2 linked regions of the Arabidopsis thaliana genome follow. The protein of the gene in region 2 interacts with the protein of the main gene of each other region in a pairwise test. Each region holds a gene or a part of one and is shown on either strand. Other genes may lie near its edges.

Region 1 (4,881 bases), on a different chromosome or scaffold from region 2:
TCTTCTACGTTTAAATGCTTCCCAAATGGTAGTGGCTAATATCACCGTCCAACTGAAGTTGAACAGAAGAAGACATATTCTATGTAAGGGACAAATGCATGTAACCAACAAACTAAGACAATATCTTATTTATTTATGTAATAGTATATGGAAGGAGAGGGAATGGAGATGGAAAGTTGGATGAATGGTGACCGTAGGATGATAAAGGATGAAATGATGGGAGCATAAAAAACATTGGGGTTAAGTGGTTTAATGAGTAGGTAAGATGATCACATCAATCCTAATATCTAAGCCCCCTTTTTCCAAATTATCTCTAATCCACCACCATCATATGTTTTTGTCACCATCCTCTGCATTATTTCAGTTTTGGTTATGACCTTTAAGAAATAAATGATGGGTCTCTTGTCAGTTGAAAATATGTAGTCTTTTGGGGACAAAGATGGCTTGTCAACAAAAGGCAAAAGGAGAGGTCTTCCTTTGGATAAGAACCTTAGCTCATATCTCTCCACCACCACACTTTCCCTCACCCTACATTTTAGTTACGCGTACCACATTTTAACCGAACGAAGCCAAATAATCGAATCGAATCAAAATGATCTTTTCTTGAAGTTACATTATAGTTTGCTGACAAATGACATAATTTAAACAGATTAAGATGAAATATCTCAAAATTAATTAAAAATGGGAAAGACAAAAGAGAGAGATGTCTCATTAGTTTCTCAACAACAACAACTAGAGAGAGCCAAAAGTGCAGCTTATTAGAACCAACTCAGCTGTCTAACTAACACCGATGCTCCCAAAACATACATCCACTGTTCCACCTAACCACCCAAATAACATCTTTTGAACCCAAAAATAAAAAAAGAAAATAATGATACAACAATCTTGCATTCCTCCCAAGTCCCAACCACCATCATTCATCATCAACAATCATGTAGTGTGCCTCTGATGCCACCACCATCATCATCTGAGCTTCCTACACTTACCCATTTCATTCCCGTCTTAAAAAACGGAAACACGGAAATGCTCCTCGTTCTATAAAATCGTGACGAACTTTGGTGCATCATTCCTTGGACCATCAAGAGACCGATACATGTATAAAGTCTCGACATAATCCCTATTGTCATCATCATCATCCGATCCAATTACTTCCACAACTAGATTCGGCATTGCTCGTGCAATATCCTTGCAGCATCCCTTAGACAAGCTACATGCTGACATCCAAACAAACCTCATGTTGTAATAGCGATGCATACCAGACCGTAATGCAACATCTCCAAAGGGACTGTCCCTTATCTCAAGTTTCTGCAGTCTAGGGCAACCTTCTAGGACATGTCTCAGAGCCATGTCACTGTCCCCTGCAAAAGCTACTGAAAGCGTACGGACCAATTTCCCATACTCACCCATATACCTAAAAGCTTGATCTGTCAGCAATCCCGACACTGCAAGGCGAGTTAGCTTCTTGCAGTTTTTAACAATGGCACCAAATCCCTCGTCCATAGGCTTTCCTGTTACATGGTCAGGCCTATGTCGACCCATTATGCACAGCCTAAACACAGTAAGCTCTGGACAGTTCTCTGACATGGCTATCACAGCGGCATTAGTCATGCGCTGGCAAAAGTAGAGAATAGATTCTAGTTTCCTACAACCCTCGGAGATTGCTTGGAGGCCTAATTCAGAGACAGGACCTTCACTGTCTTCCCGAGGATCAAAAGGGAAGATCCTGAGTTCACGGAGTTCCTTGCAAGTGGCTGCAACTGCCTGTAGTCCTTCATCACATATTGAATCAAGGGCCTGCATTGTAAAGTTCAAGTCATGCATTTTACTCAAGTTCCTTACACAACTAATATCAAGTTTATTCATTCTATCCATCTAACACAAACAATACGGTCACTAGAGTTAAGTCACATATAACTTAATAAAGCCATGAAGACATAGATCAAGAAGGATACATACCCAGAACACCTGGAGTTTGTGGCAATTGAGTATGATGGGCTTGAACATGTCAGGAGAAATGTTAGCATAACTGAAGTTCAGGGAGGTGAGATTAGCGCACACCGGAAAGATAGCTGGAAGATACTCCGGCATCAACTCTCTAAACCCTGACAAGCAAACTACAGATTTACAAGCACGAAATGCAGCAGCATAATCTGGTTCTTGCTCACTCTGAGGTTCCTCATCATGGCTAAATGAACCAGTCCCAAGACTAGTAAGCTGTGGAGCTCCAAGTAGCAGACGATGTAGCTCCACAAGAGACACAAACCTGTTTAGCCTAAGTTTCTTCAAGAACGGTGACCTAGCAACAAGACCCTCAAGCGCCTTAAAATTGATAGGAGCTTCCACACAGTCAAAAGCTAAAGACTCCAAACAAGTTACATCCTCAGGGAAACAAGAGATCCAATCCACTTCATCATCCGTGACCTCAGACTCAATCAAATCAAGCACTTTCAGCTTTCTGAAAACAAATTAATATCCAATAAGTTCATAACTATCAAAACATTACTCAAAGATAGCATTTTCATATCCAATAAGTTGTAACATTTACCTGCACTTGTTGGCAACAATAGAGATACCACTAGTACCAAAACCTTCACAACAAACCAAGATAAGCTCTTTAAACCCAGGAAAAGAGTCAGCAAGAAGAGCTAAATCATCATCAGTAACAAACATCCTCTTCAAATCAACTTTCTCAAGACAAGGATAAGCTTGAGCCATAGTAGAAACCCAAGGAGCAAAATTAGCACCCCAATCAGGAGGCATGAGATTGAAATCAGCAAACCTAGGTTTCCCTTTCAGCACAAGAGACCTAACACGCTTGAATCTCTGAGTCAACCTCGCCGGAGAAAGAGCGTAACAGTTACCAATAAAAACCTCAGATCGAGTCAAAGCTTCAACACGCCACCAAGATTTGCAAACTAGAGAAGCAGCGTTACGGTCACATCTTGAATCTAGGAACTGAAGAACGTTCTCAAGTACGTTTTCGAGAACATGGTCAGGGAAAGTTTGAGAATTTGAGATACAGTTACGAGATTTGTTTGGTGAAGAGGAAGATGAGCAAGGATCAGCTATGGCGGTAGAGGGTAGATCCAACGGTGGAGATTGTTGGTCATCGTCATCTTCAGACATTTCTGAGCGATCTTGTGTCATAAAGAGAGAGGCTTTGGATTCAGATTAGAGAAGAGGAAGAGGAAGAAGAGGAAGAAGAAGAAGAAGCTTTGGGGTGTGAGAGAGTGGGAGCTTTCTCTCTCCACTTCGTCTCCATTATTTGGGGATTATTTTTTATTTTTAATTTTCTGTTTTGTCTTCTTATATTTATGTACAAAAATAATTAATATTCATGTTTTTTTTTTCTTACTAGAAAGTAAAATGTAACTCTTTTTTTCTGCTTTCTTGTCTCCATCAATGTTTTTACACTTTACAGTTTCGTCCTCTTTATTTTCTTCAGATCTCTATTTTAGCAATGTTTTAATTAGAAAACAATAAAATCAACATTATCCATTTCTATAGTGTAGGACACTTGCCTACCCTTTTTTCGAGATAAGTTGAGAATTTAACCATATTGGTTAGGGTAATTTTTTTTGTCTTAAACCAAATCACTAAGCATAGATAATATGAACAAATTGGTTGGGATCATTTCAAGTAACCTCCTACGAATTATATGTATAGACCCGCATAAATGATTTCGAACTAGTGCACTTTTTTGGATTCTAACATTTTTGATCCGTAGATTATTATTAAGTAACTCACAATAGTTTATAACTTCTTATACCTTAACCTAAGGTGGTAAGTGGTAACCGATTTAGCTAATGACGTCTTTAAATTTTATCAGTCAAAAATGTATTTATATATGTGCCACAAACAAGCACATATTATTCTACCAATCAAACAAAACAAATACAGTATAACACAACTAAATACAAAACCCATTCATCATTGAGGCTCTGTTTTTTGTGTGCAAATACTCATCGTTGTGGCTAACCATCTGTTTTAGACTTTTAGTTATCGTTAACTTCCTATCAACTAGTTATATGCAACCAAAGAAGTGTTTAAATGGACGACAGAGAATGAAGCACATGAACCCCTACTTATCTTCAAAAGTATATCATAAGAGTTTCAACGTCAAATCTAGCATTACAAATTTTTGTAGGAAATTTTTTTTGTTATAGAATTAGAATCGAAAAGCCTCCAAAACTCACAAAATTTTCTCTTTTAATCATTTGTATTAAAACAGAGCATACATACTCTAGTTCTAAATTTGGCAAAACGAGTATCATCTTTAATGCAAAACATCTAAACATAGAAGAAACATCACATTAATATTTCTAAAATGTTACTTAACACTTTGGGTTATAATATCTAGTTGCGTTTTATAGTCTCCTCACCGAATATGCACATAAAACCTAGCTAGATAAGGTGTGTCCTCCTAAGGGACACAAAACTAGCAAAACAGCATTCCATAAAGTTTGGAAGGATTTTTTTTCAGACAGAAGGGAAATATTTGTTGAGGTTGAACGGAAGAGCATAGAACTCTTCTGTTCTCGGGTCGTTCTTGAAAGTCCAGAATCTGTCCCACCAGTGTTTACCTCGGTCTTTCCTGATCGAACCATCTTTCTTGTGAAGCGTCGTGTCCAACAAGTAAGCCACACATCCTCCCACAAAGGCCTTGGACGAGAAGGGCACATTGACCATGTCGTTGAACCATCTTGCCCCGGTATGAACTGGACCATAGCCTTTGATGGCTGTGTGCTCGTTGAAATATTGTGGAATTGATAGGCCTAGGAAGATTGAGAAGCCCAGTATGAATAATGTCCTGAAGCTATTCAGGTTGCAGAATTGCAGCAAACTCAGTCCTCCAGCACCTATACAACAGTTTTTGTATTA
Region 2 (4,639 bases):
GCGCAAAAGAGGTCAAATTATACTATTTGGAGGCATCAACGACTTACATAATTTATATGAGATTATTAATCTATAATATGAATACAATATATATATCTAATGATCCATCATCCATCCACCAGTAAGAACCATCAATAACTCGCAAGTCGTAACAAATTGTAAGTGAGTAACAAACATCCGAATATTAAAACTTTTATATCCTCTTTTGTAACTGTATCTTACTCACTTTTTTTTTAATAATGAAAACAAATTATATTGATTTCAACATATTTTTGAAATGATGACTAAATTAATCTTGTAAAGCCGCTACACATATAATCATCAGTTAGTTTAAAATATGACAGATTACGGACCACATGTCCCAAAAAATTAGGATACACAATTTATGATGAAATGACAACAAACCAACTTTAAATTCTACTTCTTATTTTTTTTGTGGGTTGTAGGATATGTTCAATTGTTCATTAAAGACTTCATCTAAAAGTCAATACATAATCAGAGTTTTTAAAACTAAAAAACGCTAGTAATGGTTAGAGAGTAGAATTAAAAAGCTAAGATTTTATTGGTAAAATAGTAAACATAACAACGAATTATTCATTTTGGGAAAAAACTATTAGATAACACACACAAGAAACGACAAGTAGCAGAGTAGGGATCAAAACACATGTACATGTACACACACCTACATACACACATTTATATGTATGCACATATCAAGTTGTGATTGATCATCAAACCGACAGACACATGTTGGGCAATAAATATGACACAAACACAGAGATATTGAAGTTTCCTCTCTTTTGGTCACATTACAAGTTTGTCCACATCTTACTGGTAAAATACTGCCCTATATACCCATCAAGTATTTAAAATTACAACACACATATATAGGTGATAGCCACATACAATCATAAAAATACATATAAAATCAAGAACCCGTCATATTGTTGATCATTGATGCTTCTTTTTTTTTATTATTAATTCAAGATCTGTTCTTGCAGTACTTCTCCATTGCTCTCGGAGCTATAACCAAGAAAACAGAATTATATTAAAATAAAAAGAAAATTGGTAAAAATTGAAAAACAAAAAAAAAAAAAAAAAGTTAGAGATGTACCAAGTCCAACTGCTTCAGATCCCTTCATAATGCGCAAACGTTTGCAAGACTCGACAAACATTCTGAAATAGGTATTCAAGTTTACGGTTAGAACATTAGAATATGAGTCGTTAACATTTAAAGTTTATTCTAAGGTTTTTGGCAATAATATGATGATGTGCCAGCTACGAATGAGCTCTAAACATATCGATACTATTGTATAATTTTTGAAAGATCCTCTTGTCTCTTGCCAACCAATGCATGGTTGTACGTATTTATAACACATGGATGTTGAATATCTTTGGCTTTGTCTCTACCAATTTCGGGAAATGTGGTTAACGAGTCAAGTTATAAGTTATAAAAAAAAGTATATGAAACGATTAAATTTGACTCACTCCCATGGGACATCGCCAACGAGCATCCAGTCACCATCTTTGTCCTCGTAGCTTGGCACATACTCAGAGCTATTCAGCAGATTCATTAGCTTGCTCTCGTTCATGAAATCTATCATTCCTTGTGCTCCATAGTTTCCTTGAAGATATTCAAGACATTCAAAAATCATATAAATTTATGTGTCATTATTGTGTAATATATATAATACATATTTAAGTTGTATACATTTAGCAAAATCTCATCTTGTTAATATGTATAGGGTTCGAATGTATAGTTCTATGACTCTAACTCGGTAAGGTTCATGAGTTTTGTATGAATAAATGTAGTAAATGATATACTTTAATATACGAATATAGTTTTTTCACACTTTCCGATTTGAAATTTCTAATACGTACCCATAGTAAAGGAGCTGAACATTTTGGCCAATGCATCAGAAAGATCCTGGTAGCTTTTGTACATCTTGAGGTCAACTTTCCTCAGATATGGAGCACCGTCCATGGAGACCTTCACCAAGCCGGCTCCGGCTGCTCCTCCACCAAAGTTCCCGGCCTTCTCACTGCTGGCCTCCTCCGCACCACTACTGGTCTTCTGCTGAGTCATCATGTTCTTCCTGTAGTTCCTCACAGGTGGCCATCCCACCACTTGTGCTCTACATAGAACAACATTATTTAGATAGGTGTATATCAACCAATGTAATTATTAGTTACCATTACTGCCTTTATGGGCTTGATTGTAAGTTATAACATGTATTATTTCATGTTTGCTTGTACGCATGTATGTATTGGTGTTTAAGTTTCAACCACGCTTTAATTATTATTATATTATTTCTTAGTATTATATTGATAGAAAACAAATATAACTTCAAAGAATCAAAGTTATGCATATAAATTTTAACAAAAAAAGGTAATGTATATGGGAAGTATATATATATATATATATATATATATATATATATATATAACTAACATTACAAATTTCAAGAATTTTTAGTTTATTCATATGTTTATGTAAATCCCTCACAATATTTATGTTCTGCGAGGACATATAACTATGAAATTTATATATATTCGAATATTCTAAGAACTTAGACATAGATGTGTATAAACACGTATATATGTATATATATGGACTGGAAAAAACTAAGAACTTTTTAACCAAAAAAAAAAAAAATCTAAGAATATATATATATGTAAATGTGTAGCTTACTTAGCAGGAGGCTTAGAAGGATCTTTAAGGGTAGTCTTCTCCTTGGGAACAGCAGAAACGTTTTTGAGATCAACGGAGCCTTCTTTGTTAGATTGAAGATTGAGCATGAGATCAACGGTTTCGGAGAAGCCTCTCTTGCTTCCCACCGCCGATTTGGCAGGACTCTCAACTGCTTCAGCGCCGCCGGGGAGGCCGAGACAGAGCTCCGTGGCCTTGAGGTTCATAAGTTGGCCGATCATGTTACTTGTAATAGATTAGAAATATTGTTTCTCTCTCTGAAAAGGTAAGAGGGGAAGAAGAAAGGAGAGGAAGGGGCAATAATAATATAAGGAGGGAGGATGGTGGTGGGGTGTATGTATTCGTGTAATTGCATGTGCATGTCTTTTGCTCTTTTTTCTTCATTGGTGGGGTTTATGACACGTGGGCTTGATTAGATGTTAGTTAATCATTTCTTCTCTGTTACTACAAAATTAAGCTAAGATAATTTTGTTTTGTTAATCTTCCATCTAGAAAGTTTTGAATGGTGACCGGGAAATTATGTTTTAATTAACTACGAGGATCAGGTCACATATTGATCATGATATGTAATGTAATTATTGTAGAACCGCGAAAATCCGGAGAGAAAACTTTGAAAACGATTACAAAGATTCCAAAAATATGATCATTCTTATTTTTGTGACAAACTTCACTGAAAAACTCGCCGAAAAGTTAGCCGGAAATACTTTGTAAAATTGAAGTTCCAACAGTTACGTGGTAGTGATGTTTTGTGATACTATCCGAATTCAAATAGTATGTATGAAGTCAAGTTATTCTTGACAATATATATATATACATATATGATATATTTTATAAAAGACTTTGGTATGATAATAAAAAGATGGGACATATTTCTCATATCTTACCAATTTGAAGAAAGAGATGATCTATGAGAATATTGAGAGCAACATATCTCTTACATAACCAAGTCATCTTGCTCCAATAGTAAAAGAGTGAAAAAATTTGCCACTTGAGTTCATGTAATATTGGCCATCATGGTTCGAATTCTAACATTAGTTTTTCCGAATCTCATAATTGGTGTTTGGATCTAAAAGTATTTTAGCATCATCTTTGTTATCAAAAAATAAAAAAAAAGACATATATATCTCTCACATCTTACCAAAATTTACATGTAATGTTTGCTTGACTTTTCGTATCTAATAGTCGGACTAAACCAATATGGGTCTTTTGACTCTGACGTAGTACTTATCATCGACAAATTTTCCTAAATAGCACATTAGATCACATATATTGGTTGTATAATTGTGTTCAGCATTTTTACTTAGAAATATATACAAACAAACTACAAAAAGTTTTGTTTGTTCTTCTCGTACGGTTCTGACATTTTTTTTAAATTTATTTGGTTCTGACATTAAACATACATTATAGTTCATAGTGAGCTACATCGTCTATTCTGGAGTTTCAGGATGTAGTTTGTTTATAAATTTGTAATGGTTGGGTTAGGTCATGTAGTTTTAAACATATTTCAGCTGGTTCTACCACTCTGTGTAGCTTTAGTATTTTAGCATTTGTACTATGACTCTATGAGTCAATACAAAGCTAGCATATAACTAGGTAGTATATAATACTTATATAGTATGAAACGAATTCAGATTGTTTGTTAAAGAAGAAAAGAATAAGTTCTCACAACATGTCTATATATAAACTATGAATGTATTAATTACTTCTATGTTTTGTTAATAGCCTATTTGTTACACTTTGTCTCCTCTGGTCAACTGTTCATCGCATATAAAGCAAGTGGAATTGGGCGGTGAAATTCCGTTAACCAAATTTGGTCAACATTCTAATTAGTTTGTGTCAAGCAATACAACTATACAAGTCACGTATATTATTTTAATTGTTTACGGTCTCCCGTTTTCTCTGTATCATCTTGGTTATTAAATGTGTCTT

What was found.
Region 1: the proteins of IAA7 (region 2) and AFB5 interact in a two-hybrid assay, tested with the Arabidopsis thaliana proteins (one study listed by BioGRID).

Annotation. Positions count from the first base shown.
Region 1 is NC_003076.8:20,333,385-20,338,265, forward strand, and holds AFB5 (auxin F-box protein 5), read right to left. Parts: upstream 3,288-4,881; 5' UTR 3,148-3,287; coding exon 2,546-3,147; intron 2,456-2,545; coding exon 1,957-2,455; intron 1,795-1,956; coding exon 1,036-1,794; 3' UTR 513-1,035; downstream 1-512. Other genes in the region: AT5G49990 (Xanthine/uracil permease family protein), read right to left, coding at 4,480-4,859.
Region 2 is NC_003074.8:8,193,060-8,197,698, reverse strand, and holds IAA7 (indole-3-acetic acid 7), read right to left. Parts: upstream 3,094-4,639; 5' UTR 2,932-3,093; coding exon 2,693-2,931; intron 2,136-2,692; coding exon 1,882-2,135; coding exon of another isoform or gene 1,871-1,881; exon of another isoform or gene 1,625-1,870; coding exon 1,489-1,624; coding exon of another isoform or gene 1,485-1,488; exon of another isoform or gene 1,177-1,484; coding exon 1,115-1,176; intron 1,024-1,114; coding exon 983-1,023; 3' UTR 544-982; downstream 1-543.